7 linked regions of the Sus scrofa genome follow. The protein of the gene in region 6 purifies or fractionates together with the protein of the main gene of each other region. This does not show direct contact. Links are inferred from orthologs where the notes say so. Each region holds a gene or a part of one and is shown on either strand. Other genes may lie near its edges.

What was found.
Region 1: the proteins of CUL5 (region 6) and ASB13 purify together in Homo sapiens (affinity purification with mass spectrometry; 4 studies listed by BioGRID and IntAct, counting the BioPlex papers as one, with this or other methods). This does not show direct contact. The link is inferred for Sus scrofa from reciprocal best matches to the Homo sapiens genes CUL5 and ASB13.
Region 2: the proteins of CUL5 (region 6) and RAB40C purify together in Homo sapiens (affinity purification with mass spectrometry; 5 studies listed by BioGRID and IntAct, counting the BioPlex papers as one, with this or other methods). This does not show direct contact. The link is inferred for Sus scrofa from reciprocal best matches to the Homo sapiens genes CUL5 and RAB40C.
Region 3: the proteins of CUL5 (region 6) and COPS8 purify together in Homo sapiens (affinity purification with mass spectrometry; 3 studies listed by BioGRID and IntAct, with this or other methods). This does not show direct contact. The link is inferred for Sus scrofa from reciprocal best matches to the Homo sapiens genes CUL5 and COPS8.
Region 4: the proteins of CUL5 (region 6) and COPS7A purify together in Homo sapiens (affinity purification with mass spectrometry; 3 studies listed by BioGRID and IntAct, with this or other methods). This does not show direct contact. The link is inferred for Sus scrofa from reciprocal best matches to the Homo sapiens genes CUL5 and COPS7A.
Region 5: the proteins of CUL5 (region 6) and WSB2 purify together in Homo sapiens (affinity purification with mass spectrometry; 3 studies listed by BioGRID and IntAct, counting the BioPlex papers as one, with this or other methods). This does not show direct contact. The link is inferred for Sus scrofa from reciprocal best matches to the Homo sapiens genes CUL5 and WSB2.
Region 7: the proteins of CUL5 (region 6) and ASB6 purify together in Homo sapiens (affinity purification with mass spectrometry; 6 studies listed by BioGRID and IntAct, counting the BioPlex papers as one, with this or other methods). This does not show direct contact. The link is inferred for Sus scrofa from reciprocal best matches to the Homo sapiens genes CUL5 and ASB6.

What each region holds. Positions count from the first base shown.
Region 1 is NC_010452.4:65,285,464-65,288,963, reverse strand, and holds part of ASB13 (ankyrin repeat and SOCS box protein 13), read right to left. Parts: intron 2,628-3,500; exon of another isoform or gene 2,264-2,627; coding exon of another isoform or gene 1,730-2,263; intron 1,059-1,729; coding exon 935-1,058; intron 1-934. Other genes in the region: uncharacterized protein LOC106505208, read left to right, coding at 1,730-2,263. UniProt on the Homo sapiens protein: May be a substrate-recognition component of a SCF-like ECS (Elongin-Cullin-SOCS-box protein) E3 ubiquitin-protein ligase complex which mediates the ubiquitination and subsequent proteasomal degradation of target proteins.
Region 2 is NC_010445.4:41,157,297-41,161,385, reverse strand, and holds the start of RAB40C (ras-related protein Rab-40C), read left to right. Parts: upstream 1-1,289; 5' UTR 1,290-1,478; coding exon of another isoform or gene 1,479-1,512; intron 1,513-1,552; exon of another isoform or gene 1,553-1,669; intron 1,670-2,242; 5' UTR 2,243-2,319; coding exon 2,320-2,461; intron 2,462-4,089. UniProt on the Homo sapiens protein: RAB40C small GTPase acts as substrate-recognition component of the ECS(RAB40C) E3 ubiquitin ligase complex which mediates the ubiquitination and subsequent proteasomal degradation of target proteins.
Region 3 is NC_010457.5:136,826,994-136,831,021, reverse strand, and holds the start of COPS8 (COP9 signalosome complex subunit 8), read right to left. Parts: upstream 2,801-4,028; 5' UTR 2,660-2,800; coding exon 2,582-2,659; intron 1,600-2,581; coding exon 1,529-1,599; intron 393-1,528; coding exon 344-392; intron 1-343. UniProt on the Homo sapiens protein: Component of the COP9 signalosome complex (CSN), a complex involved in various cellular and developmental processes.
Region 4 is NC_010447.5:63,972,257-63,974,470, forward strand, and holds part of COPS7A (COP9 signalosome complex subunit 7a), read right to left. Parts: intron 2,208-2,214; coding exon 2,119-2,207; intron 478-2,118; coding exon 275-477; intron 1-274.
Region 5 is NC_010456.5:34,608,152-34,612,329, reverse strand, and holds the start of WSB2 (WD repeat and SOCS box-containing protein 2), read right to left. Parts: upstream 2,801-4,178; 5' UTR 2,646-2,800; coding exon 2,597-2,645; intron 1-2,596. UniProt on the Homo sapiens protein: May be a substrate-recognition component of a SCF-like ECS (Elongin-Cullin-SOCS-box protein) E3 ubiquitin ligase complex which mediates the ubiquitination and subsequent proteasomal degradation of target proteins.
Region 6 is NC_010451.4:36,450,806-36,454,305, reverse strand, and holds part of CUL5 (cullin-5), read right to left. Parts: intron 2,675-3,500; coding exon 2,498-2,674; intron 778-2,497; coding exon 636-777; intron 1-635. UniProt on the Homo sapiens protein: Core component of multiple cullin-5-RING E3 ubiquitin-protein ligase complexes (ECS complexes, also named CRL5 complexes), which mediate the ubiquitination and subsequent proteasomal degradation of target proteins.
Region 7 is NC_010443.5:269,831,407-269,835,562, reverse strand, and holds the start of ASB6 (ankyrin repeat and SOCS box protein 6), read left to right. Parts: upstream 1-1,356; 5' UTR 1,357-1,434; coding exon 1,435-1,547; intron 1,548-2,548; coding exon 2,549-2,730; intron 2,731-4,130; coding exon 4,131-4,156. UniProt on the Homo sapiens protein: Probable substrate-recognition component of a SCF-like ECS (Elongin-Cullin-SOCS-box protein) E3 ubiquitin-protein ligase complex which mediates the ubiquitination and subsequent proteasomal degradation of target proteins.

The sequences.
Region 1 (3,500 bases), on a different chromosome or scaffold from region 6:
ACATGGAGTGGCAGGGCTGGGAGGCACCTCCTGGCCTTGTTCCTGGTCCTGGAACAAAAGCTTTCATTCCTTCACCACGAAGCGTCTTGTGAGCTGTGGGTTTTCACAGAGCCCTTTATCAGGCCAAAGAAGTTCTCCAGTGTCTCGTGTGTTGAGTGTTTTCATCATGAGAGGGTGTTGGATTTCGTTAAGTACTTTTCTCTGCATCTATTGCAATGATTGTGCCCGCTTTCTTTCACTAATTCTATCTCAGGGGTGTACTGCACGGGTTGATTTTCAGATGTTAAACCTACTGTGCAGTCCTGGGAGAAATTCCACCTGGTTATGGTGTATAATCTTTTCATGTGATGCTAGATTCGGTTTGTGCATATTTTGAGGATTTCTGAGTCTATATTCCTAAGGGTCATTTTTCCTGTGGTTTTTGTATGTGTCCAGTTTGGGTATCCGTGTAATACTGGCCTCAGAGAATGAGTTGGGAAGTAGTCTCGAATTTTTGGAAGAGTTTATGAAGAACTGGTATTAAATCTTTAACTCTTGGGTCAAATTCATCTGAGTGGGCCTGGGCTTTCTTTTAGGTTTTTAAATTACTAATCCAAGCTCTTCATTTGTTACACGTCCTCCCAGACGTTCTAATTTTTTCTTTGTTTTTTGAGTCAGTTTGGGTAGCTCGTGGTGTCTTTTTAGGAATTTGTCCACTTCATCTACTTTATCTAATTTGTCGGCATACAGTTGGTTATGAACCGAACTGCGTCTCCTCCCGCCCCTCCCCCGGCCAAAATTCCCATGTTGAAGCCCTAACCCCAAACATCTCAAAATGTGGCTGTATTTGGAGATGGGACCTTCACAAAAGTAATTAAGTTAGAGCCAGGCCCATCAGGTTGGGCGCTAATCCAGTCTGACCAGTGTCCTTATGAGAAGAGATCGGGGCACATACCAGGGATGTGTTTGCGCAGGGAAAAGCCCCGGAGGACATGTGTGTATACACCACATCTTCCTAATCCAGTCGTGTGTCGATGGACATTTGGGTTGTTTCCATGTCTTGGCTGTTGTGAATAGTGCTGCAACGAACATGCAGGGGGCATGTGTCGTTTTCAAAGAAAGTTTTGTCCGGATATATGCCCATGAGTGGGACTGCGGGGTCGTACGGTCGTTCTATATATAGTTTTCTCAGGAACCTCCATGCTGTTTTCCACAGTGATTGTACCAATTTACATTCCCACCAGCAGTGCAGCGGGTTCCCCTTGCTGCACACCCCCTCCAGCACGTGTCATTTGTAGACTTTCTAACGATGGCCATTCTGACAGGTGTGAGGCATGTGAATTTCTAACAAGCGCCCAGACGATGCTGATGCAGCCGGTCTGGGAACCACACTTTGAGAACCATGGCTTCAGACATCCCTCCTCCCCACCTCTGGCCTCTCTCCCCATCCCCCTTGTCCCCCTCCCTCTCGTCCTAAATAACACCTACTTGTTCCTTTCCTGGCTGAAATCTAGTCAGTTTTGCAGACAGCCTTGCCCCATCTCAGCCCTGCCCACGCTGAGTTCGACCATCGTCTGTGCCCCGAGGGGCCGCCGTTTGTCCCCACCAGGCCCTACTGTGCCACAGTCCACACCTGCTGCCCACCGCACGGCGGAAGTGGACTAGAGAGTGGTCACTGTCGGGGTTCCCAGAGCCACCCACCCACCCAGACCAGCAGCCTAAGCTGATCACAGATTCCCATTTCCCGTAGAACGTCGGACCCAAGGCCAGCGAATACGTGGGGCGAGTGCTGAGGGGCTCCCGGCTGGACACAGCCTTCCCGCCTCCCCGGATGGGGCCGGGAGTTGAGCTGGGACCTGAAGACAGACGAGAAGCACCAGGTGAGTCACTGCCCCTGGGGCCCGGAGCCCCGAGCCCTGGCTCCCTGTGCTGCGAGCTTGAGGTTCCTTCACCGGCTCGGCCAGGTGCGCACGAACCCCGCGTGCAGACTCCCCGAACCCAAACTACATTTGCACAGCGAACGTCTCAGCCCCTGTCAGAGCAGCTGGGCTGCAGGGCAGCCTTCCTGGCACCCTTCAAACGCCGTAAGTGGCAGCAGAGCCGGGCTATGCTGACACATCCTTCCCGGCAAGGCCCCCCAGACGGCATCACAACACACCCCTCTCAGGATACGCCTTTCCTTGTATTAGTGCTGCATTCTATGTCCCTGTCGCTCAAACTCCTTCCCCTCGGCCAGAGGTCCCAGGTCTTAGCCACAGCGCTGTGTGAACCTTGTCCCGGGTGAATTTATTTCCTGGGCGGTTGATAGCCTCCTGGGTTCCGTGTGGATGTCGGTCCCTCCTGAGACCCCGTCCCCCCAGCCATCCCGCAGCCGCCCAGCCTGCAGGGGAGCGGAGTGGTGTGGGGCTCAGGGTCCTCCAGGGCCAGCCGGCTCGGGTCCGAGAACCAGCGCAGCCATGTCTCAGCTTGGGCGAGAACTAGCGTGTGAAGTGGGATAGTGATACCGTTCATTCACCACCGGGTTATGGAAATTCAGTGGGAGTTCCTGTCATGGCTCAGCAGGTCAAGAACCCAACTAGTTATCTATGAGGACGTGGGTTCAATCCCTGGCCTCGCTCAGTGGCTTAAGGATCCAGTGTTACTGTGAGCTGTGATGGGGGTCACAGATGCGGCTCGGATCCCGTGTTGCTGTGGCGATTGTGTAGGCTAGCAGCTGTAGCTCCGATTCAACTCCTAGCCTAGGAACCTCCATGTGCTGCAGGTGTGGCCCTAAAAAAAAAAAAATCAAATTAAAGGCACTAAGCATCAGGCCAGCACAAACTCAGGAAGTGGGGTCTATCTGGGGTCTTTTTTGCCCCTTGTTGTACCATCTGTGTGACCCCATGGGGGGGGGGTCACGGGCCAGGGAGCTGAAGGGAGGACTCGAGGTGGAGGAAGGTCTGACTCCCACAGAATGTAGAAGCCAAGCTTGGGGCACCTCCTGTTTGCTGCCCCAAGGAGAGGACCTAGGGTGTCTCCCCTGTAGTGATGAACAGCTGCCCTCCGGCCTGGGGGTGGGGTGGGGGGAGGGAGTGGAAAGTGGCTTTAAGGTCAGTCCGAGGGGAGCAAAGCCCCAAGGGCAGATGGAGCGCCTCCAGCCCTACAAAGAGGAGAACAGGGCAAACCCAGCATCCGCAGGAAGGAGGGGGCCCGGGCTGGGCGTTTCCCCTCAGCATCCATTCAGCAGCCACTGCTGCCGCCGCCGCCGCCGTTGTGCACAAGGACAACTGGATGGGACAAGGAGCAGTTCACGGCCATGGGTGGGGGTGGGCAAATAATTCAAAACAACGCAACTGTAACACTGGAGGAACACGCCAAGTTACAGGATCTTAGAAGCAAGACCCGTCCTTGGCCGGGCCCATCAGGAAAGCGTGACAGGACAGGCAGGGCTGCAGTGACTTGCTGGGCGTGGTTTGCTCGCCTCTGTTCCCAGCACCTGCCACAGCGTGCGGCCTGGCAAATGTGCTCAGATCATTTGTTTG
Region 2 (4,089 bases), on a different chromosome or scaffold from region 6:
GTTGGTGGATATTTGGGTTGTTTCCACTTCTTGGCTATTGTGATTAATGACGCTGTGAACAGTCACGCACAAGCTTTGTTTTTTTTTTTTTTTCTTCTTAGGGCGATACCCACAGCATATGGAGGTTCCCAGGCTAGTGGCTGAATAGGAGCCACAGCAATGCAGGATCTGAGCCATGCCTGTGACCTACACCACAGCTCACGGCAACACCGGATCCTTAACCCACTGAGCAAGGCCAGGGATCGAACCCACAACCTCATGGATCCTAGTCGGATTCTTTTCCGCTGTGCCGCAAGGGGAACTCCTAGAGTGAAATTCTTTATTTTTTAATCCAAAAAAATTTTATGGCCACACCTGTGGCACATGGAAGTTCCTGGGCCAGGGACTGAATCTGAGCCACAGCTGTGAGCTGCAGCAGTGCGGGATCTTTCGCCCATTGTGCCAGTTTGGGGATCAAACCCATTCCTCCCCAGAGACCCAAGCAGCTGCAATCAGATTCTTAACCCCCTGTGGGAACTCCAACAGTGAAATTCATGAGCTTGTTTTTGAGAACTTCTCCCGACTAAATGAAATATGGAATTACTTACTAAGTTGTCCAACCTCCCTGCCAGAGAGCTGTCACCCTACATCCTAGGTGCCACAAGTAATGTTGCCAATCTAATGGGTGAAGAGGGTATATTTTGCTTTACTTTCTATTTTGCAGAATAAAATTGTATCTTCACAACTGTTCACACCTTTTCATAACCTATCCATTCTGTAAACAACCCAAAGTCACTTCCTCCTACAGGCTCCCCCGGACCCTCTTCCTGGGCCCTCCTGGGTGCCCCACCTGGCCTGACCCCGACTCTTCCCAGGGTGGGCGGCTCACAGCCAGTGCTGCCGTCGTCTCTGGGGCTAGAGGACGACATGCAGGCCGACCCCCTTTCTGCAGCGGCCTTGAGAGCCGCGCTGTCACCTGCAAGACTTGCCCAGGGAACGGGGCAGACGCGAGGGGCGGGGACAGAGCTGCGCTGGAGTCCCCGCCTCGCCGCCTGCAACCAAGCCTCACCTCGCTGCCCCTGCGCCCCGACCCAGGTAATTCCAAGTTCCTGCCACCGCCTCATTTCACCGTCCCTACCCTCGCGCCCTGCCTCGTCTCCCCGCCCCTCACCCGCGCCCCCACTCACCACCTTCCCCACAAGAAACCCGGCGCCCGCCCCCACCTCACCATCCCCCGGCCCCGCCCCCGGCGCGGGAACGGAAGTCCCGTCTACCCGGCCGCTCCGAGCGCCGATTGGTGGATCTTGTCTCACTGCGCCCTCGTCACGCCCCCTCCGTGGGGAGGGCGCCTTTCCGGGGGGCCGCACTGTACGCGCCCGGGTCTCTGCGGAAGCTGCGGCCGCAGCTTTCTAGGAGGTTCAGCCCTGCCATAGTCACCCGCGTCACCTCACAACGGGGACCGCCACCGTCCCGCTCAGTCCGCGGAAGTAAGGGGGTGTATGCAAACAACCTGGAGGTCCAAGCTTCTGATTGGTGAGCGTATAGGGGGCAAGATGGGCGGGCTTAGAGGGCCATGAGCGACGTGTAGGTGGTCCAGTAGCTCTGGGAGGATCGGCTGCGGTGGCCAATGGCGAAGCGGAGGGGGCGTGTTAGGGCCCAGGAGCTGCGGGGGCAGTGGGCAGGTTTGCCGGTGAGTCTCGGATGCTCTGCGGGAATCGGCGGGGGGTGGGGGGCGTAATGCTGACGGACAGGCAGGCGGATCAGAGGGTCCCGGAAAGCGAGAGGCGAGGGGCCAATGGCAACAGCGTGAAGGCGGGGCGGGGCGACTGGAGTCTTCGCAGAACTGAGTGGGAAGCGATGGAGGCGGGGCAGCTTTGATGGACGTGCTCACGGGCCAGTGGCCGCGCGGGAGGCGGCGTGCGACGTACAGCAGCAGCGTAGGGGCGGGGCAATGATGGGGAGGAACGACCCGAGGTCTCGCAGCGCTGTATGGGAAGCTGGGGGGGCGGGGGCAGGGGCGCTAGCAGTGCTGACGGATATGCGCAGCGGCCAATGGCCGCGGGAAGGGTGCGGCGGACGACCAATGGTGGCGCGCGGGGCGGGGCGGGGTGGCGGGGCTGCTCGGCGCCGTGCGGGAAGCTGCGGGGCGGCGGCGGCGGCGCTGAGGCGAGGCGAAGGGAAGCGAAGCGGGGGCGGTGGAGCAGGTGCGGGCGGAGCGGCCTTGCCGTCCGCCGGCCTCGCTCACCCGCGCCCGCGCACGCAGGTCGGTCGGAGGCCTCCGCCAGCGGGCTCCGCGGCGCCGTGGGCATGCGGGTGCGGCCCGCGCGCGCGTGAGCGAAGATGGGGACGCAGGGCAGCCCAGTCAAGAGCTACGACTACCTGCTCAAGTTCCTGCTGGTGGGCGACAGCGACGTGGGCAAGGGCGAGATCCTGGAGAGCCTGCAGGACGGCGCAGCCGAGTCTCCGTACGCCTACAGCAACGGTAAGGCCGGCCGGCGGGCCGCCGCGCGCACCTGGCTCCGCCCGGCGACCTGCCGTCCGCCTCGCGTCTCGGGCCGGGGCGGGGGAGCTGCGGCTCGAGCTTGTCGAGGCCCTTCTGGGGCCCGCGGCGTCGTGGGGGCAGAGATCTGGCCGAGGGACTCCTGAGGAAGAAGGGCTTTTTCTTTGGTCGCGGGGCCTCACCAGGTGTGCCAGGTGTGCACAGCTGGGCGTCCTCAAAGCAGGCCGTTGGCTCAAGGCATCCCTTCCTTGGGCTGGACGAAAACGCCCGATCCGGACGGGGTTAAACGTTCTTTCCACGTTTCTGGCCGTGCAGCCAAAACACACAAGAGCTACAGGTCTCTGGCACCAGTGTGAGGTCCTCTCTTTTCTCGCAGTTGACGTGGGTCCCCCGGGGGGCCGTCGGGCTCCTGGAAGGGCCGTCTTTGCGAGGAGTTTTACTCCTTGGAGTCCGGTCTTCCGCCTCCTCTGTAGCTTTGTCGCTCAGAGTCTGGTCAGTCCTGCCTGACTGCTGTGAGCCTTCGCTGCTTGCTGAATTCCTGGGCTCTGGCCGCCAGCGTGTGGCCAGTGCTTCTTGACCCTTTCTCCCCTTAGGACGCGTCAGAGTCGTCGGCTTACCTGGGCCGGCCCTGCGCCCTTCCTGCTAAGCACGGAGCGAGGGGCAGGGGTCTGGAGGGCCCAGCCCACCGGAGCGCTGGGTGGTGTTGTAGGGAGGGCGAGGAAGTGTGAGGCCCCCAAGGGTGTGAGAGGGAGGCCTTGGGGGGCTGAGTCGGTCCCTTGCCCGCCACAGTCAAGCGGTCCTCTGGAGTCAGACGGGGGGTGGGCGCCTGAGCTGCTTTCCCAGAGATGGGGATGCTTTGAAGGGGGGCTGGGCTCCATCAGGGCCTCAGCGGCTTCCCAGGACGAGGACTCCTGGGTCTGAGCTGCCTCCAGCCGGGCGCAGCGAGGCAGCTGGAGCGAGTGGCCCGGCCTCCTGTCCCTGCTCTCGGGGGCAGTGTGCTGCCGCTCTTCTCGTGACGTGTTGAGTCCCGCCCGAGGAGAAGCACGGTGGTCCAGCGGGAGGGCCAGCTGCCAGAAGTGTGCGGAAGCCCCTGGGCTGGCAGGGCGGCGAGGGTCCTGGAGGTTACGATGTGTGGCACATGCAGTCAGGGCGTCAGCTCGGAGGCTCCGGGGCCAGTGCCCTTTCTCAGGGCGAGGTGGGTGGGTCTGAGGGTACTTCATTCTGCTGCCCTGAAGGCTTCCTAACTGGAGCAGTTAGTTCTCAGCGTTCGGCGCATCTCGAATTTGCTTTGTGTTTTTGGGGAGCTTTTGATCTCTGATTCCCTTGTGGCAGATGCGTGTATCTTTTTCTTTCCTTGTTAAGAGTCAGTACATCTCCGAGCTTCTTGTGCTTGGCTTAACCTTTCGGGGTCAGTCTGGCCAGGAGCAGATGACCAGTGGCAGGGAGGTCCCTTCCCATTGAAGGGCGTGTATCCAACACCCTTCCTTGGGCCAGGCAAGTTATTTCTCGCATTGAAGTCTTGCCTCACCTGTTCCGCAGCAGGTACCTGGGACACCTGACTCTCCCCAGCCTCGTAGACACAGGAGTCGTTGCATGGCCTTTTATCGTGT
Region 3 (4,028 bases), on a different chromosome or scaffold from region 6:
GCTGAGTCACAAGAGAATTCGTAAGACACTGCTTTTGGGGGGTTGGGGGGCACACCTGAGGCCTATGGAGGTTCCAGGCTAGGGGACGAATCAGAGCTGCAGCTGCCGGCCTACACCACAGCTACAGCCACACAGGATCCGAGCCCGTCTTTGACCCATGTCACAGCTCATGGCAGCGCTGGATCCTTAACCCACCGAGCAAGGCCAGGGATCAAACCCGTGCCCTCATGGATGCTGGTCGGATACGCGACCGCTGAGCCACAAGGGGAACTCGCTGAAACTGCTTTTTAAGTGAATGTCATTACTACAGTAAAGTAGTAAGATTCATCACAAGAGTACTTACCGACTTTATAGCGGGTGGTATTCTTTTCCAAAGGTATCTTGCATTATTCCTAATTTATATCCCCCAAGAAAGAAGAAGCAATTTAGAAAAATCATCCTAGTAAATGTCTAAAATTCTAGATCCCACTGCAAACACACACAAGTATACTCTGAAATACTCTACGTTAAACAGGGTGAAATTTAGTTGTACATGACTTTGTCCAGGTGAAATGAGAGCGGTTTCCCAGATAAAAAGACATGAAATATTTTACCAAAGTAACATTTTGCCATTTTTAGTGAATTTTTAAATTAATAATCCAGATCTTAAATTAAGGTTACAGTACAAAGACTTAAAGAGGACTACCTAAATAATTTAGTCATATATAAAAATAAACAGATTCATACACTTTCAAGGCACTGCTGTTCCCTGACAGTATACAGGTACACAGTGCTTTTCTCCATCTCATGACCCTTCCTCCTACCAGTGGCTACAGAGCCACCACACCTTCAAGGCAGGATTTTTTGGTTTCTTTTTTTTTTTTTTTTTTTTAAGAGTTTGGAATCTTGAACGATAACAAACATATAATGACATGATTATAAAACAAGAAACATAATTTATACAATAGATGAGTAATAAAAATCTCAGTTTAGTTTAAAAGATGCCAAATAAGAAGGTTTACAAGAATTTTAAAACAAAACTGAACAGTAATCATGGCTTTCAGAACATAAGGACTCTTTTTTGCGCAGTTATACTGACTTGTCTTCAATGAACGTGAATGAGGAATAATTAAAAACAAAACCTTTCAAGAAATCGCATACATGACAGTAACAAATTCCTCTTAGCTCTCTCAATTTTCCCTTTCGGTTTCTCTTAGTCTATCGATCACATGTGACATTAAGTAAACAGGTCATAAAAGACAGACATTTCATAACAAAACAAAAGAGAAGAGACTAACAGATTTAAAGGAATTTACTGACACTGTAGTTCATCGTAACAGATTGAAAAATTTTAAGAAAGATATAAGAAAAGAAGTGCATTTTAACTCAGCCTAATCACGATTTAAGCCATGATTCAGTATATGAAATAAATATACTATTACAATAAAATGTAAAGCTCCTTCTGTCTATGTTTTAGTGATGCTACTTCAACGCAAGAATAATTTCTTCAGGAAGCTGTTTCTCTTAGCTTTAGGTAGAAAGTACTTACATGTCATTATGGAGCAGATATAAAGCTAGAAGCTGACCATACACTGGAGGTGTAGCAATTCCTCCTGGAGCCTTTAAAGCCAAAAACAAAAGAGAAAAAGCTCATTTATTTGTATACTTTTGTATTTTTCAAAGCATCTAAAAAGTAAGCATATTTCATAGTACTTACCCTTACAGATGGAGAAAAAGAGAGTGTCACACACTAAAAGCCAGAGTGATAAGTTTAGATCTGTCACCAGCTATGAATTATCTCCCTCTGGGCCACTGAGTTTATATATGCACGGGAACATTTCAGTGGGATCCCTTTCCCAGTTCTCAAATTCTTATTTAAATGGCCTTACTGTTACAAGAGTATTTCCCACAGATTCCTCAAGTATGATGATTCTGCCCGTTACACCAGGTATGTTGAAAATCTAGGTAAGTGAGTAACGAAGAGAGAAATGTCACAGCTGAATGACGAAGACGTTTCTCTCCTTGTTCAACTTTATTCAGAAAATCATCTGTTAAGTGTCTATTAGTGAGCTGCTGCTTCTGGCAGTAGTCTCTTTGGGTTAATTAACTTTTTATACTGATACTGTACATGCTTGTAAGTGCCTTTCTAAGAAAATTAAAAAAAAAAAAAAAACCCTTACTGTTAAGACCTTCGTGAAATAATTTCACCAGTCCTAATGAAGCTAAGACGGCAAGCTTCCGCGACATGAGACTAAGGACTTTCCGAGTTAGGAACAGGCTACAACGCGCACACAGACTCCCTCACCTCTCCCCACGACGGGGAGGAAACATCTTTAACCCGAGAAGCATATTGGAGAGTGTTAGGAGCAAAGACGCACAGCATTTTCGGGCTCACTGGCTGAAGACAAAACAACAAAAAGCCCCCAGCAAGTTCGGGGAGGCGAGGCCTGGATGCTCAGCCAGGAGCAGGCCCGGCGTCCCGGGCTCCACACGCCCGGCCCCGCGCCCGCCCCAGCCCGGCGGGCCCTGGGCCTCGGGCCCCGTTACCCTGGAGACCGGCGCCGCACAAGGCCACGCGCGACCCCGAAAGGCGAATGGCTACCTCCAGCTCCTGGTTCTCGCACTGATCCAGCAACTTTTTGAAATTAAAGGCACTTTCCGCCATCACCGCCACTGGCATCTTCCCGGCCGGTCCCGCCGCCGTACCTCCCCTTCTAGCTGGACCCCAGACTTGTCCCTCCGGGCGTCGCGCCCGCGATGACGTAAAAGCCGCCGTCGCCGCCGAGCTCCCGTGCGCAGGCGCATCATCGGTTCCGGCGCGTCATTAGACGTCGCTGCGGCCTGGCGGGGTCGCTGCCGCTCTGGCCCGTGCACTCTATGTCCTGGAGGACTCGCCTGGCGTCTGGGGACGCGGCTTTCGGAGCCAGGGAGGGCGGGGACTGGGGCCGGTCTGCGGACTCTTCGCTGCCTTTACTCTGAGGCCACGGAAATTTTAAAGTTCAAAACCCAGCTTTCGGTTCCTCCCCCCGCCTCCTCCTTCAGCAGCCCTCCCGCTTCGGTGCAGGCGGTGCGGTCCTTCCTGGGGGCTCCCCTCCTGCAGGCCCCCCATCCGAGAGCGGCTGCGCCAGCGTGGACCACCCGACAGGGCCTGAGCTCGGTCCTCTCCGGACCTCACTCCGCCTCCCTCCAGGCTACTCCCGGACAGCCACCGCAGCCAAAATGATGCTTTTTGAAACCTAAGTCGTCTTGTTATTCTTCTGCTCAAATCCCTAACAATCCAGAGTCTTTGGCATCGCTCACAGATCAAATCCCCAGATCCCTCCGACTTGCTCCAGCCATCCTGGCCTCCTCAGTTTTCTGCGCAGTCCTAACGAACGTTGTATGGTGCGTTATTTATTTATACTTTGGTTTGCTGCCCTTGCCTAGGCCGCCCTGCTGCAGGGTCAGCCGCAGGATTTGTGAGCCCAAAGCAAATTGAAAACGCACATCACTAGTTCAAAAAGCAGAAGGGAAATTACCCGTAAAGGCTATAGAATCTAAAGCTTTTCCCTTATTCCGCAGTGTTTCAACTTTTCATAGCATTCTAAAGTTTGCTATTTAATATTCTAAGAAAGGGAAAAAGCAAAAATTTCAATTATTAGCATGCATCTTACCATCTGTCTTTATATTATACGAAGCCAATTTTAAAGGCGAATATAAGTGCATTTAACTCATGTGGAATCACAGAAATCACACAATTGGTAGACGTAACACTTTGTTTGTACTTAAGCTGGGTCTTGCTGAATTCCTATCATTTGGGGTCGACTGGGAATTCTGCATTCATGGGGTATTTTAAACACTGTGGAGGGCAGAAAACGCATACCTCAATCATCTCTTTGAGTGTCTGTCCTCCCTATGGACTTGCCAAACCCATACTCGAAGATAAAATTATTTAGGATTCCAAGACAGTGACGGTTTCACTGATTATTTTTGTAGAATCAACACTTTCCATGTGGAAATGGTTGTGTTTAGTTATGCTTCAGATAGAACATAGAGATAAGAAAAGCACT
Region 4 (2,214 bases), on a different chromosome or scaffold from region 6:
CGAACCCAAGTCAGATAAGAACACAGAGAAAACAGAAGTGAGAGAGGCCCAAGGCCTGTGGACAGCGCTGGTCATACTGCATCCTGCCTGGCCCACCCCCCAGGGAGGATCCCCTCAAGAGGACCCCCCCTTCCTCCTCCCAGTTCCTCTTCAGGCTCCTGGGGGGTGCCTCTGCCGCCCAGCCACCCCCCCCCCCCACCCCCGGCCTCCACCAAAGCAGCCCTCCCTTCTTGGGGCCAGCAGAGGAGGGACAGTGCCGGGACCCAGGTCTCACCACTCCTGCAGGGTTCGGGCAATGGCACTGAGGTCCTGGCGCTGGATGTCCCGCCCGATGCTGTAGTCAACCTCCAGCCGCTGGTTGCGCTGGTCCAGGGAGCCGCGAAGCACGTCGGCGTACACGGCCTCGATGACCAGGTCCTCCAGCTGCCGCACGTTCCGCAGGGCCAGGGCCTCCAGCAGCACTGCATATGGGATACACTGGGGCCCGGAGGTCGGGCTGCGGTCTGTGAGGTTCCGCACAGAGAAGGGCTTCCAAGATTCTTCTTCCCTCCTTCCCCCACTGCCCGCCCTCCAGTCCTCCTCCTCAATCACTTTCCGTAAAAGGCAGGTTCTAAGGCAAAATAAATGAAAGTATTCCCACCTGATAAATAACATCCTAAGAAAGAGAATCGTTCACATTTATGTATTTATGACTGTTGTTGTCTTTTTTGACGGCCCCACCTGTGGCACAGAGGTTTCCAGGCTAGGGGGCAAATCAGAGCTGCAGCTGTCAGCCTACACCACAGCCACAGCAACCCCGGATCCGTGCCGCATCTGCGACCTACACAGCAGCTTGTGGCAACGCCAAATCCTTAACCCACTGAGCATGGCCAGGGGTTGAACCTGCATCCTCACAGACACTATGTCAGGTTCTTATGCCACTGAGCCACAATGGGAACTTTTTTTTTTAATATTATTTTCCTTTCTGCAACTTTTTTTTCAGGCACACCCACACCATGGGGAAGTTCCTGGGCCAGGGATCAAACCCGAGACACAGCAGGGAACCAAACCTCAGCACTGGCAACGCCTGATTCTTACCCTGCAAGGCTACTGGAGAACTCCAAAAAGGACAATCTTAAGGAAAACATTTATGCTCCCCTCAATGCCCAGCCCACCACAGGGTGACATCTGCCTGGGTGTCAACCCTCTGGCTCAGCTCAGGACAGTACACGGATGTGGTCAAGACGAGCTTGACCTACGGGACGCTGTGGTGGAGGAGAGGCTGGAGCTCTTCTGTTTATCATTTATACACGGTCTCCTTCCAAAGAGGCAGTGAGCCTGATTTAAGCCAAACCATGGGGATGATGGGAGAGTCAGGGAACAACTGGGAGATGCAGATGGGCAAACAGTTAACAAGAATGGAACCCAACAGGAAATACAAAGATGCTTCTGGGTTATGTATTTTTTATTCAAGCAAATAGAAGCCTGCTACGTCACCAGGAGCGAGTGTGTCCCAGCTCTGGCCACTGCAGCTGCTTCCACGGACTTCATACAGTGGGAGGAATGGGCTGAGGAATAACACAGTGAGTGGCATCCTAGCTGCTATTCTGACCTGACACACAAAAGATGTTTTACTTAGAACATAAGTGGGTTGAAAAACAAAATAGAGGAGTTCTGGTTGTGCCACAGCAGAAATGAATCTGACTAGTAACCAAGAGGTTGTGGGTTCGATCCCTGGCCTTGCCCAGTGGGTTAAGGATCCAGCGTTGCCATAAGCTGTGGTGCAGGTCACAGATGTTGCTCGGATCCTGCACTGCTGCGGCTGTGGCACAGGCAGGCAGCTGTAGCTCTGCTTCGACCCCTCACCTGGGAACCTCCATATGCCGTGGGTGTGGCCATAAAAAGCAATAAAAAAAAAAAAAAAAAAAGAAAAACAAAATAGAAAGCTGGGAGAATAACGTTCCACCTAAAGGGCCACAGGTATCAGAGTAAGACACAGACCTTGGAGGAATGTGGGGAAACAGGAAGAAGCACCACTGTGGTCAAAGCTGTCCCAGTGCAATTCCCTTCAGATGGGCCCTTGTGAAGCCGACACAAAAAAGTGCTCCCTGGCTCAGGACTGGGGGGTCTGTCACTCACCTTGACCTTGGCAGCCAGGGTGACAACTGACAGGTGTCTAAGCTTATTCTTCTGAGCCTCTGTGAGTGGGGGAAGATTCCGGGCTTCAGCTAGAAA
Region 5 (4,178 bases), on a different chromosome or scaffold from region 6:
ATAACAGAAATGAAAGGAAGCCCCTTAGACTATCACGATGCCTCTGCCAAACATTTCACATGAAATGCTTCTTAAACATAAGCCATACCCAGATTTCACACTCTATTTCTGTGACTTGGGGATATAATCTCCTGCTATTTCAGGCTCTGGAATCCAAGAACTAAAAGAAGAAAAATGCTAAGGAACTAAGGAAATTCTGAAGGGGAATCTGGGCCCAAGCTAAACTTGGCTGCTGGAAAAGAGAAGCCATAATTAGTGCAGAACTTTAAAAACAAACAAACAATAAACCAGAGGCAAGAGGATCCAGCTTCATCTGGAATTGTGTCTGCCCCTGGTCTTTCTCAGTGAAAAGGTCTGTGGATCAAAGCGGACTAACTGAACATTGGGATATGTTTGGATAATCAGGCCAAGTGGAAAGATACTTGCTATGGGCTTCTTCTGTGAAAGGAGAATCATCTTAACATAGGATGGAAGCTATGATGACTGCAGCTGGCGGTAAGCTTGGGACTGTCCTGCCCCAGAATCCATCGGCCTAAAAACTTTACCTGGCTGCCCTAGGTCTTTGCTGGGTTGCTATGTCTTACCATTTAGGCCTTGGTGCTGACGTCATCTTCTCAAAGACCTTCCTGGCCTCACTACCCAAAGTGGCCTAGTCACTTTCCCTTTGCTCTGTTGAATTTTCTTTATAACCATCACTCACCCATCTTTTTTTTTTTTTTTTTTTTTTTTTTTGTCTTTCTGCCTTTTTCTAGGGCCACTTCCCACGGCATATGGAGGTTCCCAGGTTAGGGGTCGAATCGGAGCTGTAGCCACCAGCCTACGCCAGAGCCACAGCAACGCGGGATCCAAGCCATGTCTGCAACCTACACCACAGCTCATGGCAACGCCGGATCCTTAACCCACGGAGCAAGACCAGGGATGGAACCCACAAATGAACTGGTTCCTAGTCAGATTCATTAACCACTGAGCCACGACAGGAACTCCCCCATCTTTTGCTTGATTGCTTACTTGTTTTTATGCAATTGCTGTTTCTCTCTTCCCCTCCCTCACTCCAAACTGTTCACTGCTATTGGGCTGCGCTATCCAGTACAGTAACCACTAGCCACACATGGTGACTGACCTTTTGAAATGTGGCAAGTCCAAATTAAGATGGGCCATTTGGTACATAAGACACACTGTATTTCAAACTTAGTACAAAAACAAAAATCTAAAAATTTTCAATAATTAATCACTACATGTTGAAATGATATTTCATATATGCTGAATTGACAAAGATAATTTTAAAATTACTTTCAACTGTTTCAATTTTTAAAAATTTTTTTTTAGCACTGCACCTGTGGCATATGGAAGTTCCCAGGCTAGGGGTCGAATGGGAGCTACAGCTGCCAGCCTACCACAGCCACAGCAACACCAGATCTGAGCCACGTCTGTGACCTACACCACAGCTCATGGCTCCGAGCGAGGCAAGGATCGAACCCATGTCCTCATGGTTACTAGTCTGGATCATTTCCATTGAGCCACAACGGAAACTCCCGGTTTCAATTTTTTTTAAATGCAGCTACCACAACATTTCAAATTGCCTATAGTGGCTCACAATATATTGCTATTGGCCAGTGTTGGCCTAGGGAGTGCCTGGCACATAGTAGATACTCAATAAATATCTGAATGAATAAATACATTCTAACCACTGCTCTGAAGATATCTAACTGTTGTCCATTGTGATCCCATTACAATGGGCTTTATTCAGTTTCAAAAGAACTTGGCCCTTTTTTTTTTTAAACCGTAGCTTGGCAGCTCTCAACAATTCTGCCCACATCCCAAAACACAGTCATCAATCATGAGGAAAAACCCAGAACTGGAAACAGATTCCTGCTAAAAAGGGAGGCTAGCTCCATATCACTTTCAGATATAACTAAAAGGAGTCAATGGAATGACAGCGGAAGCTATAAAAAGATTCAAAGATTTCAGGCAAACAGTAGGGGCCATTTAAAAAGTTCTATGGGTAACACGCTCACTGAAAAGAAAGCCCTTATCTAGATAGGAAGGCTGAGAGAACTACCTCTGCACCTAGCACTGAATGCCTGACTCCAGCAAACAAAGAAATGTCATTTCCCAAATTAAAAAGTTAACACCACCCCAGGGAATACCCCGATTTCAACCTACCATCCCCCCTCCATCAAACAAGCCAGGGAAAAACACAGACATCCACAATCAGAATCCTCCAGATCAAGATGAAGCTTGAACTTCACTGGAAGAATTAAAAGGGTTTCTGGAACAAATCCTGAGCCCAGGCCTGACCCCTTCTGAGGATTTCCCCTAAAGAAACTTTGCCTTTAAGCACGGGAGTATTCAAGAGCTGGAACTCCCAGAATAAATCACAAGCCCACCCCAAATTTCTATATTAGTGGGGTTTAGGGGTAATGTGGTTGGAAGGAAAAAGCCTGAAGGGCGTGCCTTTGCATAACAAGTACACCATCCCCACTGAGACTGTTCTTTCATTTGGGCTGACCCTGCGAGGGTATCCAATATTCTCTAACTTTGATACCGCTTTCTGATGACAGCTGTTAACAAGAATAGAGGTAAGCACCTCACTCACCGGTGTTTCCTAAACTTGTCCCATCATCCGTGTCACCAGGGATCAGCATCCCAGTTCCACCCCCACCTCGACGAATCAGTCTCTACTGGGAGAGGCTCACAATATATTTTTTCAATACGGACCCCAGACCCCATTTTTATGCAAGTTTGGGAAGCCCCCAACCACCCCCTAAGGCAGATACTATTATTAGCCCATTTTGTAGATACAAAACGGACTTGGATTAAGTGGCTTGTCCACAGGCACACCGCTTGGAAGGGGCAGAGCGGACTCTCATCCAGACCTACAGCGCGTCACCTGGCACCTGGGCACCCACATCCTCGGGTATCACTCCCCACGTCCCACTCGGACCGAGGCGTCGGGATCCCGGCGCCCCCCACTGTGCCAGGGGGGTGGGAAGCCGCGCCACGCAGAGGCCCGTCCTCCTCCGGTCCAGTCGGCGGCAGGAGACGGGGTGGCGGCCTCTGACAGCGAAAGCGAAACAAAGCTGGGCGCCGGGCGCGCACCCCGCCCAGGAGACGCGGACAGCCCAGGCCCCGCGCCTCCGCCGCCCCCGCCCCGACCGAATCCGCGCCCGCGCCCCACCCCCGGGAACGGGCCCGGCTCCGTCGGCGGGGAACGCGCGCCACGGCCCCCACTCACCTCCGGCCTCCATGAAGGACATGCGCGGCCCGCGGCAGGCGGCGGGCGCCTCAGCCCCCAGGGCCACCGGCCCTCATGCCGCCGCCGCGCCACCCGCCCCCGCCCCGGCCCCGGCCCCGGCCCCGGCCCCGGCCCCGGCCCTGCAGCCGCCGCCGCGCCCGCCGCCGCCCGGAGAGGCCATCAGCTGCTTCCCGTCACATGGCGGCGGGCGCGGGCGGGGACGCGCGGGGGCGGGGCTGGGGGCGGGCGGGAGAAAACCCTGGAGCCAGCTGCGGGAAGAGCGGGGGCGGGCAGGTGGAAGCAGGAGGGTTCGGCCCTGGGCGGGGGAGCCGGGCTGACGGGAAAGGGGGGGCAGATGGAGGCCGACGGGATCGGCGCGGGGAGGGGGAGTGGGTCTGATAGGAAGATAGGGAAGGAACGAGGAAAACGGGGTTGGGGGGTGTGGAGTGGATCTAACCCGGGAAGAGGCGGGGGTTGCTGGAGGAAAAAACGGGGTTGGGGCGGGCAGGTGAACTGGGGCAGGAAAAAAATCGAGGGGAGGGTCGGGGAGCGGGGCTGAGGGGAAACGAGCTGGAGGAGAAAATGGTGGGGGGAGAAACAGGGGGCGGAGGGTACACCGGTAAACCTGGGAGGAGCCAGGCTCAGGGAGATCGCAGGGATGGGGTAGAACCCGGTTGGGGGAGAGTTGGGAGGAACAGAGTGGGAGGGGAGTGACACGCGTCTGGTAAAGACTGAAGATCGAGGGAGGTGTGGGTAACAAAAAAGGGGATGTACGGCGGGGCTGAGGGGAAAACGAGGGAGGGACTACGGAAAGGCACTGGAGAGCTGAGGAGGAAACTGAGGGTGATGGGGCAGCGTGGAAAGGGATGGGAATCAGGTAAAACGGAGGGGCGAGCAGGCAGGAAGGAGGACCTGAAGACACCGGGGATCGGAAGAATCGAGA
Region 6 (3,500 bases):
TTGCGGGTTTGGTCCCTGCCCTTGCTGAGTGGGTTAAGGATCCGGCGTTGCCGTGAGCTGTGGTATAGGTCGCAGACACAGCTTGGATCCCGAGTTGCTGTGGCTCTGGTGTAGGCTGGCAACTACGGCTCCAATTCGACCCCTAGCCTGGGAACCTCCATATGCCGCGGGAACGGCCCAAGAAATGGCAAAAAGACAAAAAAAAAAAAAAAAAAAAAAAAAAAAAAAGAAGACAAAGGCACATTTGATTGAATGAACAAATGAAAATATCACTGGCAGACACCGAAGTCTGGAGAGGAATATACTCATGTTATTAACATATCTGAAATATAAGTACAAAACCAGATACCACTTACAAGCTATAGATTCAAATCTACATTTCTCTAATCTAGGTTGCTAAAAAGATTAACTAGCCAAGAAATTAGTGTAATGAAGAAAATAAAATATTAACCACATGAATTTGAATTCTTCTAAGTTTCATTAAAGCAAGATACAATTTGTGTACTCTTAAAAGCATGTGGCACTAAAAGCAGATGTGACTATATGCTAATAAACATAACATCAATAGCACTATTCTGTAATTGTCTTAGAATTTCCATGAAAAAGAAATTTGATCATAAAAGTTCAGAACATACCATAGGATTCTCTTACTCCAATGACAAGCTGAGAATCAAAAGCTTCCCCTAATCTTTCAGCATGTACCAGCTTCATTGCACTATCTTGTAGTCTGTTTTTTATATTTGAAAAGATTGACTCATTCCACGTATCAAGCATGAGCTAGGAAAAAGAGAACAAAATGTGTGATTGTTTCAATTATTAATATACCAAATACTACATATATACAAAAATTTTAAGTACAAACACTAAAAAAGGAAATAAAATTCTTAGACCTACATTCAACTGAATACTATAGGAAAGTAGTATATATAAAGTTGGTAAGTAACATGGTAAATAATGGTAAAGAAGTGTTTCTGCATCAAACATAACAGGATTTGAATTCCAGCTGTTATTTACCTGCTTTCTCATCTATAAAACAGTGAAATTAACAATACAAATCTCAAATGGTTGTTGTAAAAATTAAATATAGTTATACATGGAATATGTTACTTTCCCTATAGTTCCAAGGTTGAATTTCAGAAATATGGATACATGTTTGGAATGCTCATATGTATATTTGTACAAACATGATAAATGTGAAAAGGAAAAATTGAAAATATGTTTGACACTGAATTGTAGAAAGAAAAGAATAGGGTTCCCCTTTGGCACAGCAGGCTAAGGATCTGGCATTGTTACTACAGTGGCTTAGGTCACTGCTATGGTGCAGGTTCCATCCCTAGCCCAGGAACTTTGGTGTGTCACAGGCACAGCCAAAAAAAAAAACAAACCAAAAAAAAAAAAACCACCTTACAAATGTTTTATTTAAATGATGAAAATAGCATACACATATTAATGAGTGTGCTGTCCATATTAGTACAAATGTTAAGGCCAAGAAGGGGCAACAGCTTCCAGGCCACTACCTGAGTGACTGAGTTGGCTGCTAGAGTCATCACAGCAAGCAGTGAGTTGTTTTAAGTTCGAATGGCATTTTTTACTTTTAAAAGCTGTGGTTCCATTTGGTTCTCACAAGTAGGAATACATACACACATATGATAAATGAGGCCAGCATGACTAGATCATTATTGACTGATGAGTTGAAAAGTGAAACTTGGGACTCTTCAATTTCTTTCTATTAATTAGTTGTTAACAGAGCTTTTAACTAAAAACTATGTAAAACATGAAAATTAACATAGTACATATTGAGTTTATTAACTAGAATCAAGAAAAAAAGAAAGATGACAACAGTTTAGTCACAATTAAATATAGAGATACCTGGAGGTATCTTCCTCATAAAGGAAGATTTTTTTTGAATAGAAAAAAAAGTAATTTAATTTATAGGAAGGAAAAAGTGCAAAGAAAGAATAAGGAAATAAGGAGTTCCCGTCATAGCTCAGACTAACGAACCCAACTAGCACCCACGAGGGCATGGCCTTGGCCTTACTCAGAGGATTAAGGATCCGGCATTGCCATGTGCTGTGGAATAGGCTGCAAATGCAGCTCAGATCCTGCATTGCTGTAGCTGTGGCATCGGCTCCAATTCAACCTCTAGCCTGAGAACTTCTATATGCCAATAATATGGCCCTAAAAAAAAAAAAAAAAAAAGAATAAGGAAAAAGAATACTAAAGATAAAACCAGGAAAAGCAGAAAGGAAAAGGAAATGCAAAGGAGGTACTCTCTGAAGACACAGATCTACAGCTTAAGACCACATAAAAGATGAAAGGGAACTGAAGCTAAAAATAGATGAAATAAAATTAACATTATTCAATAAACCCAAGAGGAGCTGAAAAGGAATTTATATGTGAAGCAGAAAAACCCATTTAAGTGTACATTATTCCTGAAAAGTTTTCAACTCACCCTATTGCTGAAGAACATTAGGGAAAAATGAGGAACTTGACTTACCTTTCGAACAATACTGTCTTCTACATTTGATTTTTTATTGCTGCCCTGTTTACCCATTAAAGTAATCTCTAGCTGACAAAAAGGCTTCGGTAAAATATCACACTGTGTAAAGAATTTTCGCCATTCAACAATATAAGCTTTTAGTAAAGCTGTGTCATCTTGATGGCTCAATACTCGCTGAAAAAAAAAAAAAGAATTGCACCAATTTTAAATAAGTACTTTAAAGATTAAAAACATATTCAAGCCATATATTTAAAATATTTTATTTACTGTACAATCTGTATTATACCAAAAGAAATTAAAACATTTTTGGTAAATCCATTTATGACAGAGAAGTCAAACAACAAATGTATATATATCCATGAGAAATTAAAACATGTTCATATAGTCTTATTGTGATGAACATTTCTCAATATATGCATATATTGAATCATGTTGTAATCTGAAACAATAAAACCTTGTATGTCAATTACACATAAATTAAAAAATCCTATGTCATTTGGCTACTATTTTCCTATTCTTTCCCCTTCTGGCTCTCCCCTCCCCACCCAGGCCTAAGCAACCATTAATCTATTTTCTGTGTCTATATATTTGCCAATTTGGGACTTTCGTATAAAAGTCATGTAATATATAGACTTCTATGACTGACTTTTTCCACATGACATAGTATTTTCAGGGCTCATCCAAGTTGTAGTATGTCAGTACTTCGTTCCTTTTTATCTCTAAATACTATTCCATTTTATGGATATACCGCATTTTGCTTATCTATTCGTCCAATGATGAATATTTGGGTTATTTCTAACTTTTGGCTATCATAAATAATGAAATATACATGTACAAAAGAAAAAAGTTTACAAAAAATTTGTGCACACTCACCAACAATAAAAAAGAGGGGACTCATATAAAATCAGAAATGAAAGACGAGACATTACATCTGATACCACAGATATACAAAGGATCGTAAGAGGATATTACAAATATCAACAAATCTAACAACCTATAA
Region 7 (4,156 bases), on a different chromosome or scaffold from region 6:
CCCTGTTCGGTCCCCATAGCCGGACTGAGGACGCTTTGGATTGGGCTTTCTTGCTAAGACTGTTCGGCTCTTGGGGGCAGGGGAGCCCTTTTCTACTCATTTTTTATGTTTAATCATAGACACATGCGGTTGGCTTTAAACTTGTCTCTAAACGTTTTCTACTTTCCTCAACAGCTCTGGTCTCTGGCAGGTGCTGGACAGGAGAGGCTCCTGAGTCCACATGGGAAGGGGTGGGGGCTGGTGAGACCCAAGCTGCCATGTGAACGGCTGGGACTGGCACACCTCTTCATAACGGGCTTTCCAGAATCATGAGGTCATCAGGGGCGTTCCCGTTGTGGCCCAGTGGAAAACGAATCCGACTAGGAAGCATGAGGTTGTGGGTTTGATCCCTGGCCTCACTCCGTGGGTTACGGATCTAGCATCACCGTGAGCTGTGGTGTAGGTCACAGACACGGCTTGGGTCTGGAGTTGCTGTGGCTGTGGTGTAGGCCTGCTCCAATTTGACCCCTAGCCTGAGAACCTGCGGGTGCAGCCCTAAAAAGCAGGGGGGACAAAAGTGAAGTCATCAGGGCTCCCCTGTGGGCCTCGAGGTTGCAGAGGTTAAATGTGAGGCCCAGGGGTAGATACCTAAACTCCAGAAAAGTACCCCAGGCCCGGTCCCCTTCCTGCTAGGCTACACTTCCACCCACAGTAACAGAGCTCTTGGTCTAGGATCTTGCATGGGTTTGATTATCCCCATTTCACAGATGAAGAAATTAAAGTTCATTGAGTCCATCAAGGCAGAGAAAGGGGAAGAAGCCCCCAGCTGGCAGGGAGAGGAGCTTCCAGGGGACAGAGGCTAAGGAATTGCCCCATCGCCCGTCAGGGTGGATGTGGTCCAGTCGGCGGGGGCGGGGGGGGGGGGGGGGCAAGAGCCAGGCCAAGCCGCGGTCTGACCCAAGCTCAGGGGGGCCAGGGGACACCTGGAGTTCGAGACCCCTCCACTGCCGCAGAGAGTTGGGCAGGGGTCCGGCCGCTGTGCGCAACGGGCGGAGTTCGGACGGCGCCCAGCGGCCGCGGGCGGGATCGCAGGGTGGAGCCAGGCCGGACCGGGAAAGGGCGGGCCAGCGAAGGGCTGGGATCCCGGTGGACTGCAGGTCGGCGCCCTCCATTCTCCAGGGACCCCCGCCGCACAAGATACCCCCAAATCGCGCTCCCGAAGGCGCTCGGTCCTCCCGGACGGCAGAGGGCGCTGTCACCCCGACTCTCTTTCCTGGGCCGGAGGGACCGGAAGTGCAAGTGCGAGAGTCACTTCCGGCGCGGAGCAGCGGGTTGGGCTGTGTATGAGGCCGGGTTCGGGGACTGGACCAGTAGTGGCCAAACCTGGCCAAGACCGCGGCTGCCGGAACGCTCGCAGTCGGCGTCTCGGCCTCAGCGGAGGGTGCGGCCGCCGCAATGCCGTTCCTGCACGGCTTCCGGAGGATCATCTTCGAGTACCAGCCGCTGGTGGACGCGATTCTGGGCTCCTTGGGGATCCAGGACCCTGAGCGGCAGGAACCCCTGGACGGGTAACTCGCTCCCTGCCCCCCTCCGACTCGGCACTGCTCCCCCTTCATTGTCACGACAAACATGGCGGGGCGGGCGGTGTCCCCACCTAACAGATGAGACCGAGACGCGCTGGGGGAAGGGTGCTCCGGGCCAGCGCCCGGAGGGCTGGAGGGTGCGGTGTTTGCAGGGCCTTCGCCTCAGGGCCCCACCCTGCACCCTGCCTGTCATGTGCCCTCCACCTGGAGTTGCAGGGCAGCCGGGTGGCATCTGTGAGCAGTGCGAAGTGAGCTTTCTGTAGCCGAGTTTGCAATTGTACATCCAGGCGCGGGTCTATCCGTGAATCTCTGGGAAGGGTGTTAGAAAGTGAATCGTTTGCGGTACATCAGTGAGCTAAACAAACTCCCAGCCTTCACGATGCTTATGCTCCAGAAAAGAGAGACTGACAATCGTTAGTAAAGTGTTTAATGCCTTAGGTGGAACAGAGGAAAGAGGGATCAGGTGTCTGTTTCTGGGATCAGCTGGAATTGGCGGGGAAGCTGGGTGGGTTGGGGCAAAGGTGCAGAAGGCTTTGCTGCTCTCAGCCTTTGGAAGACGGGGAGGCTGACTGACTTTGGGTGTGAGCAGGCAGGAAGTCTGCTGACTGCCCTGGGCTGGTCCCGCAGTGTCTGGTTCTCACTCTTGGCCACAAGGGTTCCCTTCAGTGCCAACAGTCCAGGTGTATGAGGCTTTGTATCCATGCCAGGGGCCAGATTCTCTGGGCAACATGGAAGGAGGCCGAAGACAACCCCTGTCCTTTCTTGGTAAACCCGAGGCATCTGCTCCAGTAGAAGGATCCAGCTTGGCCCTCTCTCTGCCACAGACCTTTTCTGAAGAGACTTTCTGCCCTGCCTTGGGGGAGTGATTTGGGGGGAGACGGGGGGAATGACATCAGGAGACCAAAGGCCACCCACCCACAGGGTGCCCAGCCAGCTGGTCCCACAGCTGTTCCCACCCTCAACTAGTCCCCCCTCTCCTGCCCCAGACCCAGTTATGTCGCGAGTGAGGAGAGCCGGATCCTTGTTCTCACTGAGCTGCTGGAGAGAAAGGCCCACTCTCCCTTCTACCAGGAAGGCGTGAGCAACGCCCTGCTGAAGATGGCCGAGCTGGGGCTGACCCGTGCCGCTGACGTTCTCCTGCGGAATGGAGCCAACCTCAACTTTGAAGGTCAGCTGGAGCCCAGAGGACCTGGGGTGATAGGTGGCTTAAGTGTGGCCCTGCTCTGGATGGGCGACCAAGCCTTCAGGCTTTTCTCAGGAGCTACTTGCCTCATTTATTTATTTCATGGGTGGTGACCAAGGACAGCCACACTGGGTGGCCTCCCGTCCCCTTGTGGGCTTTCAAGTGGCCCTTAGCCACCTCAAGTCCAAGAGCGAGTTTGTCGCTGTTTCTACCATGAGATTGACTTAGCAGACTCCTCCCAGCTCCCAGCTAAATCGCTTCCATTAATGTGAAAAAGTGGCTGCTGGCACTGTGCCCAGAGCTAAGTAAGGAAAAGTAATTTTCTGCCACTCATTCTGAGGCATCTTGCATTTTTGTTCCTGTCATAGGGAGAGGGGAAAACGGAGAAGACACATTAAGCATAAATCACAGCAGAACCATGCTGGCATCTAGCTTGTGTGCTGGGGGATGGAGACGGGGCCATTTTCGGGGGGGGGAGGTCAGCCAGGAGACTTGCAGACCCTGACTTATAGCCACAGGGGTTTATTTATTTATTTTTTTTTCTTTTTAGGGCTGCACCCGTGGCATATGGAAGTTCCCAGGCTAGAGGTCAAATCAGAGCTTTAGCTGCGGGCCTATGCCACAGCCCCAGCAACGTGGGATCTGAGCCAAGTCTGCGACCTGCAGCTCACAGCGATGCCGGATCCCTAACCCACTGAGCGAGGCCAGGGATCAAACCCTCATCCTCATGGATCCTAGTTGGGATCATTAAAAACTGAGGTTCCCCCGACACGGGGGGGGTTTCATGGTGACACAGGATGTGGCCAGGATGTCCCCCCTCCCCGGCGTAGGACAGGCTCTGAGGCTGCTGGGCTCCTGGAGGTTCAGAGAGCTGGGGTGGGGGAGGGATTTCCCTGGTAGTCCAGTGGTCAAGATTTGGCTTTTCCACCACCGTGGCCTGGGTTCAGTTCCTGGACTTGGAACTGAGATCCCACATCACAGTGACCATTAAAAAAAAAAGGAAAAAAAAGTAGCTGAGGGGGCCAGGGTGGTGGGGTGCATTCTGAAGTCAGTCGCTTGGAGACCCAGCTTGGAGAACCTGGTTTTTATCGCAGGGCTGAAGGAGCTGTCACTCTGAGTGTTCTGCCCAGCAAACCCGTTTTGGGTCCCATTTTACAGAAGAAGAAACCAAAGCCCAGATGTAGCACCATGTCCGTTAGAAGGCCCCCAAGACCTAGGCCTGACTCCAGAGCCTGGGCTCTAGCACCGGCTGAGGGCAGCTGTGTCCTGCCCCCTGGTGGTGGCGGGAGCCCGGGCCTCCTTCCATCAGTGTCCCAGAGGTGCTGGGACCTGTGAGAATGTGCTGTCGGGCAGGCAGGGCTGACTGGCTGCGTCTGCGCCTTCAGACCCGGTCACCTACTACACGGCTCTG